Linked DNA regions of Schizosaccharomyces pombe. The gene in region 1 interacts genetically with each later gene. Each region holds a gene or a part of one and is shown in the gene's direction. Other genes may lie near its edges.

Region 1 (4,169 bases):
TTAAGTAAACAAACACTAGATTAGATAATTTCATTAATTTAAAAAATTAACTTAAAATATTGTTAGTTGACTTTACTAGTTTTATAATGCATTAAGTTCACAAATTTACTTTTCTTACTTTGGAAAAACCTACGGGTCTAACAAAAATATTTGTAAATAATAGCAATAAGGTAACTATAGTGAATTAAACAAATGATCAAGGAAATAATTTAAATAGATTTAAAAAAAATATAGCTGTTTAACGAAAAGAATCTACTGATAACCTTCTTTCCACTTTCATTACTCAGAAACCAAATTCGAACAACTATTTTAAGCGTTGTTCTGCGTCACTGAAGAATACCGAGAATGTAGGAATTGTATTATTTGCATATAGTGACAATCATCGAAAAATTGTGAACAGTAATAGTTAAATGAAATTCTCAAAAAACGACTGTGCAACCTAAACTTGGTATTCATTTAACTAAATAACAATGTACATAGTGGGTTTGATATTTCTTGAATTTTTAAATATTGGGAAATGATGGGTTTAATTATTGCAATTAATAGGGAAAAGCGTGTGATTTAAATTGAATGTACTTCAATGTCAGTATATAAATTGCTTCGATAGCCGAAAGGAAAAGCTACCGATAAAAGTTTTGGGGATCATCATTAACATTTTTTTGTAAACAAATTCCTAGTGATCGGGTTTTAGAAAAAAAAAATTATTAAAATACAAAATAAAAATGGTCAATTAATAACTTTCATTAATTTATTACTCTACCATTTCTACATGCTGATTTAGTCATTAAATATGCATATAGAAAAGTTGAAAAACGTTTTGAAGAAAGTCAACTGCACAAAAAAATTCTATAGAGTAAGAAAAATGAAAAAAAAAAGACCAAAGAAAAAAATGACATCCAGCAATTATGGCATTTGTTTTAATAATTTCCAAGAGCTGCATAACCAGATAGATAGTATAAATAAAATTATGAGAGACCATGTACTGGAAATAACAATTCAGTAAACCGATTTACAATTCAGTAAAGTGATTTGGAGTTACAATTGAAATTAACTGAAATTAGATTGCCCCAAATAGATTCTAGAGGTAACCCCGATTGTGAAACCGATGAGCTTCTTAATGTTTAGAAAATGGACCTTAAATTACATGCAAATAGGAAATCTCTGTTTTATTTTCAATCTCAAAATCTAAGCAAGCTTGAACCTTGAGAAGACATATTCAGGTTGTATTTTTTTATTTTTTTTTTCGAAGGAACAGCAGACAGTTAATTGTAATTAGGCGAACCCATAGAGTTAAGGAAAATAATTATTATAAATATTGCAATCCAAGCTTAAATCGACTTTTACCTTTTAATAAAATGGGCGTTTTGGCTTATCCATATACACTCCCACAAATTATGACACTTTTTAGCGACTAAAATAAAGGAATATTTAGTAATTGAGTACTGCAGTCTAATTAAATAACTATTATAGAACTTTTGAAGCATTTTCGGGAGTTCCTTGCTAATTAAAAAATGAGAAACTGAAACTAGCTTTTCATCTTGTAAGATCATTAGAAAAAGGATTTAACATATTTAAATCATAATAATAATGAATATTGTTCTTATAGCGTTTACATATATGGCTTTGTTAATTACAGTCCATTTTTCTTGGTGGGAAGGCATCAAAAAAATCCCCCTGGCCCTGTAAACTACACCTACCACTTGCCAACTTCTACTTCGACCGCAAAAAGCGTACAAAACGCCAAAAACGAGTTGATTTCGTGGAATTAAAAGTAAATTACCTTTTGAAGAATTTAAAAGATTCGGGTAGTACTAGTGTCCAAGAACACCTACGAGCAAGTCGAAAGAAAAGTTTTTTTGTTCTGAAAATTTCTACATTCGGTTCCACTTTTTGAACAAAAAAAGAAAGGAATTTTTTAAATAACTAAATTTTACCAAAATTTACTATAATTTGCTTGTAAAAATGGCGGAAAATCTTGATATTTCAGAATTGTCACCGATTCACCCAGCTATTATATCTAGACAGGCAACGATCAATATTGGTACAATTGGTCACGTAGCCCACGGAAAGAGTACAGTGGTCAAAGCTATTTCCGGTGTGCACACGGTTCGTTTCAAAAATGAGTTGGAGCGTAATATCACAATCAAGCTGGGTTATGCTAACGCTAAGATTTACAAATGTTCCAATGAAGAGTGTCCCAGACCCGGATGTTACCGTTCCTACTCTTCCAACAAGGAAGATCACCCTCCTTGCGAAATTTGTAATTCTCCGATGAACTTGGTTCGCCATGTATCGTTTGTCGATTGCCCGGGTCACGATATTCTTATGGCTACTATGCTGAACGGTGCCGCTGTCATGGACGCCGCCTTATTGCTGATTGCTGGTAATGAGTCCTGTCCTCAACCTCAAACTAGTGAACACTTGGCTGCCATCGAAATTATGCAGTTAAAGCACATAATCATCCTTCAGAACAAAGTGGATTTGATTCGCGAATCAGCTGCTGAGGAACACTATCAATCTATTTTGAAGTTTATTAAGGGTACCGTTGCTGAGAACTCTCCTATAGTCCCTATTTCTGCCCAACTTAAATATAACATCGATGCCATTCTCGAATATATTGTTAAGAAAATTCCCATTCCTGTCCGTGACTTTACCACTGCTCCCCGTTTAATTGTAATTCGTTCTTTTGATGTTAACAAGCCTGGTGCTGAAGTTGATGACCTTAAGGGTGGTGTTGCTGGTGGTTCTATTTTGACTGGCGTTCTTCGTTTAAATGATGAAATCGAAATTCGTCCTGGTATTGTTACAAAGGATGATGATGGCCGCATCAGATGCCAACCTATTTTCTCCCGTATTATCTCCCTATTCGCTGAACACAACGATTTGAAAATAGCCGTGCCTGGTGGTTTGATTGGTGTTGGTACAACAGTCGATCCTACTCTTTGCCGTGCCGATCGTCTAGTTGGTCAAGTTTTGGGTTCCAAGGGCAACCTTCCAGAAGTTTATACCGAGCTCGAAATTAACTACTTTTTGCTCCGTCGTCTTTTGGGTGTAAAGAGTGGTGATAAAAACACCACTAAAGTTCAAAAACTTGCCAAAAACGAAGTGTTGATGGTCAACATCGGTTCCACTTCCACTGGTGGCCGTGTTATGATGGTTAAAGCAGATATGGCAAAGATCCTTCTTACCGCCCCAGCATGTACCGAAATTGGTGAAAAGGTGGCTCTCAGCAGACGTATTGAAAAACACTGGCGGCTTATCGGTTGGGCTAAGGTGGTTGAGGGTAAGACTCTAAAAGTTTAGATTTTATCGTTGTAAACATTGTATAAGATGAATTCTCATTTTTTAACTTTTAAAAAATAAACAATGGTAATGTCTACGGTTAAACTTAACGATGTCTCGTACACGGTGTGTGATTTTAGTACAGTTGATGAATCATGTAGTTGATACACAGTGCTAATAGATGCGTATCTACATCCCTATTTTATACATTCGGATCTCTGTGCAGTATTTAATGTTTCCATTATTAATTAGTTAGACTATTTTCAACATTTACTCTACAGCGAATTTATACCTATTTAGTACACCTGATGGTACTAGTTCCTTATAGTAAAGCAATAAGTAAATAGAAGAGTCATAAATCTATATTTACTATTATTTGATTCTAATCAATTATGCTTATTTACTTGACTCTTTCGTTTTGTGGTATTTCATTCATAGTATGTATCTGTAAAATATGCTTTCACTTCCCAGACTTTTGGAAGCCTACAAAAAAAAATATGAAAATTTAAAGAAAGTGAACGATTCAATTCTTTGAATACAAAAATTCTATCAAATAAGCGATTTTGATCTTTTCCCAATTAGCAAACTCTAAGGCAACGACATTATTCAGAGCCCTAACCTAAACAAGTGACTGTTAATTTCGAATGCAAACAACACTAGGAGACGCAAAACGAGCTACCTACATCAAACACCATGGCAGAGAAGGCTCAAAACCCCATGAAGGAGCTTCGTATCTCCAAGCTTGTCTTGAACATTTCTTTGGGAGAATCTGGTGATCGTCTCACCCGTGCTGCCAAGGTTTTGGAGCAACTTTCGGGTCAAACCCCCGTTTTTTCTAAGGCTCGTTATACCATTCGTCGTTTTGGTATCCGCCGTAATGAGAAGAT
Region 2 (3,975 bases), on another chromosome or scaffold:
AATTCGGTATTTAGTTGGGTACTTCTGGTTCAACCTACCAATTTATAATAATTTGCATCCCAACGAAAAGTTGGATTAATTGGCCGTCAAGGTTCTGAGGAAACAAAAGCAAAAGGTATTTTTAATCAAAAGTTTTCCCATTTGTTTGAACGTTTCTTTCTTTAGCGAAACTCCTGTATTGCATACTTTTGCTTTCAACGTTTTGCATATCTCTCTCATCTTCTTGATTATTTGATATAGACAACAAGAAATTTCTTGTATTTAGGCATAAAATTCAAAGAAATGTCAGGTGGACTTTCCCGAAGGAGGGTTGCTGCCGCAAGTTCGGACGAAGAACGTCCAGAGATGAGGAGCGTCTCTCATTCCAAAAGTCATCTTGAGGGATACGATGATGATCATAAAATCGCTTTTGATCCAAAGGATTTGGAACAAGGCGCGGAAAGGGAAAAGCAACCCAGGCTTACACTGATGGAGGAGGTATTGTTATTGGGTCTAAAAGACAAGCAAGGTTATCTTTCTTTTTGGAATGACAGCATTTCTTATTCTCTTCGGGGATGTATTCTAATGGAGCTCGCATTTCGTGGAAAGTTGCGTATGCAAAAAGACGTTAATCGTAAACGCTTTCCGTTAGCGGATCGTGTAGTGGAGTTGGTTGATGAAAAACTTACAGGTGAGGTTCTTTTAGACGAAGCTATTAAAATGATACATACTAGCGAACTCATGTCTGTAACCTCTTGGATTGATTTGATGAGTGGTGAAACGTGGAATGTGATGAAGATTGGATATCAATTAAGACAAGTACGCGAACGGTTGGCAAAGGGCCTTGTTGACAAAGGGATTTTAAGAAATGAGAAGAAGAATTTCTTACTTTTCGACATGCCAACTCATCCCATTGCCGATACCTCCATTAAAGATTCCATTAAAAAAAGAGTGGTCTCTGTTCTTACTTCACGAGTAATTGAAATTGATAATTCACCTTCTTTCCCAGAATATTTGTCTTTTCGTTGCCTTCGCACTGTTGCCCTTGCTTGTTCCTCATACGCTGCTAATGTTCTTGAAAACGCTCTTGACAATTTAAACTATGAAGATCGTGAAAAAGCATTTTCTCGCGTAGACGAGCTTCTCTGTGACTTTTCGCAATGGCCTTTTGATCTTCATGCTTCTTCGTCAGTTGGCGCTAACTTGCCTGAGCTAATTTCCGAAGAACTTTCCTCTGTGAAGGAAGAGCAACTACTTTTCATTGAGGTAGTCGCTGCTGTTCTTCAAGTTTTCACTCATTTAGATTCTTTACTTTGATAGCCAAGCATATCACTCGTTGGTGTTGTTTGAGTTATGTTATTTCCAACTCAGACTAATGAACAAACGTATACCGACTTCTATATCGCTAATGTCGGCTTAATTTGTTTGTTTTTAATTGGAGTATTATTTTAAAAGAAGTCAATTCAATCAAATTGTTCGTTGTTGTAAGAATAGTACTTTGAACAATCGGTGCTTCATTATCTAGTTGAATTTTCATTAAATTGGTGGTACCATTTCCACATATACTCTCTCCAGTTGAACACTTTATCTCGATATGGAGGCAATCCCATTTCGATATTGTCTGCTAAAAAAGATTTGTTCAGAATATCCCGGGTCAGCTTTCATTCTTTTCAGTTGCGGACATCGTTAGCTATTTTCTTCTCGTTTTAATGATTTACATACGTACATATAAGTCAGTCTTTCTTTTCACAAAGCTTTAGTTATTAAACTAACGAAAAATGACAATTGTGTAATTACTATACAGTTATCTTTTAAACCATTTTAAACTTGGGTTCTTCCACAAGCTTTACTTAAATGAACATATGATAAATTAATATAGCAGGTGTTTTCTTATGATCATTGCTATCAACTTTACTAAGACGAACATAAGCTGAAATACAGCGATTTTTAACCAAGTTCATATAAATCATCTATTCCTGCCATTAATGCCAACAACCCCATTAATTGTCTATTGCTGTAAGCGTAAAGTACTATGGAGACTGATCAGTCAAAATTAATCAGAAGCATTTAAATAATACACAATTTATAAGGGAATCTAAAGTACTCTTAAAACACCGGAAGGTGTAAGATTGACAAACAACGCTTGCTCACGTCTCGATAGCTCAGCTCAGGTATTGTATAAGGAAATATAAGGATGGTACTAAATATGTTTACGTAGTGCTATGTGCGCATTCAATTTATTACCGCGACGTATCGAGTGTCAAAGAACTACAGATAGTACTAGTACTTTTGCCATTCGCTTACAAAAAGCGCATATCCACATAAAACTAGCATTTTCAAATTCATCTGTAAAGTCAAATAATTCCAACCCAAAAGGACGGTTAAATTTTCCTTACTTTAATTTATTCTTTTTTTTTGAATTTGGTAAAGCAATTCTCGTACGTTCATTTCATTTTTTTTTCATAGTTTCCAACAATGTCTGAACGAAAGGTACTTAACAAGTATATCCCGCCCGATTATGATCCTTCCATTCGTCCTCCTAAGAAAAAGAAAAAGTTTCAAGGACCAAATGGTGGGAAATTGACTGTTCGTTTGATGACTCCATTTTCAATGCGCTGTCATACTTGTGGAGAGTATATATATAAAGGAAAAAAGTTTAACGCTAGGAAGGAGAAAACCGGCGAAAAATATTTTTCAATTGATATATTGAGGTTTTATATTCGCTGCACTAGGTGTGCTGCTGAAATAACATTTATAACCGATCCAAAACATGCAGATTATGCAGCAGAGAGTGGAGCTTCCAGGAATTATGAGCCGTGGCATGAAAAAAGATTACAAGAATATGAAGAAAATGAGTTAGCTGAACGCAATGACATTCCTGAGGAGGACGAAATGGAAAAATTAGAACAAAAAACATTAGACACTAAACGACAAATGCAAATTAGTGATGCACTCGACGAACTACGTGAAAAGAGCGCTCGAAGGTCTCGAGTTAACATTGATGATGCAATCGCTCTCTTAAAGGAAGATGCATATGGATCAATTGAAGAAGAGGAGTCCAAAAAGCGGAAATTTGAGGAAGAAGAAATTGATCGTGAAGCTAAATCGTTGTTTTCGTCTCAGGATGGTGAAATTATAAGAAGATTGAATGCAGAAACAACGGTTGAAAAAGAATTACCCAAACCTATAGATTTGGTTTCTGAGAAGCTGGCCACTTCCAATATACCGAATTTTCAGCCTCCAAAATATGCAAAAAGGAAAATGGAGAAGAAAAAGGTTTTGGTATAACGTCTATAAATGGCTAAATTTTTTAATTACTTGCATTTTTTATAGCTAAGCTATTAAAAATGTACATGTTCTTTTGTACCAGCGCAAGGTTTTTATTGTAATAATATTTAATGAGTTTTTGATGGATTTTCATAACGCGAGTTGATAGTCAATATCCTGTTCTAATTTTTATTATTCGATTAGTAAATGTAGTTTGTTATGTAGAATAATACCGTAGCATTTATAGAAAGGTTTTATTTTGTTTGTATCTATTCTTCAACTTTAAGTTTTTAACAGCACATGTTAATTGATTTTTTTTAAGGTTCCTTCTAATTTTCCGAGTATCTAATTGTAATTTATCAATTTACATTTACGGTTTGTCAAAAAGTAGTCTTAATCGTAGCTAAATTCAAGGCGGCTAACGTAAACAACGGTTTAGGAACTATGATAGGAACGTCTATTAATTTATTTTAAAAGAGTTTTTTCTTGCTTAATTAAAAACTACTTTTAGAAAAAAATATTAAAACTTATTCTCATCATGCCTGTGACAAAATATTGTTAGACTCATCTTACATAGTAACCAATATTTTGGAGAACACCAACTAAAAACGTATATCATAATAATTAACTCTTAAACAATAATTAAAAATTAAATTTTGGCAGTTTGAAGTACGAAAGATTTTTTAGTGTCTCAGATAGACACCTTGAATACCCTTTTTTTTCTATTTT

The links.
Region 2: of tif213 (region 1) and cwf16, changing one suppresses a phenotype caused by changing the other (phenotypic suppression), as found in Schizosaccharomyces pombe (one study listed by BioGRID).

Annotation. Positions count from the first base shown.
Region 1 is NC_003423.3:2,185,750-2,189,918, forward strand, and holds tif213 (translation initiation factor eIF2 gamma subunit tif213), read left to right. Parts: upstream 1-1,695; 5' UTR 1,696-1,962; coding exon 1,963-3,303; 3' UTR 3,304-3,385; downstream 3,386-4,169. Other genes in the region: rpl1102 (60S ribosomal protein uL5), read left to right, coding at 3,976-4,169. UniProt on the Schizosaccharomyces pombe protein: As a subunit of eukaryotic initiation factor 2 eIF2, involved in the early steps of protein synthesis.
Region 2 is NC_003424.3:1,488,062-1,492,036, reverse strand, and holds cwf16 (splicing factor), read left to right. Parts: upstream 1-2,281; 5' UTR 2,282-2,454; coding exon 2,455-3,267; 3' UTR 3,268-3,427; downstream 3,428-3,975. Other genes in the region: gpp74 (golgi phosphoprotein 3), read left to right, coding at 283-1,296.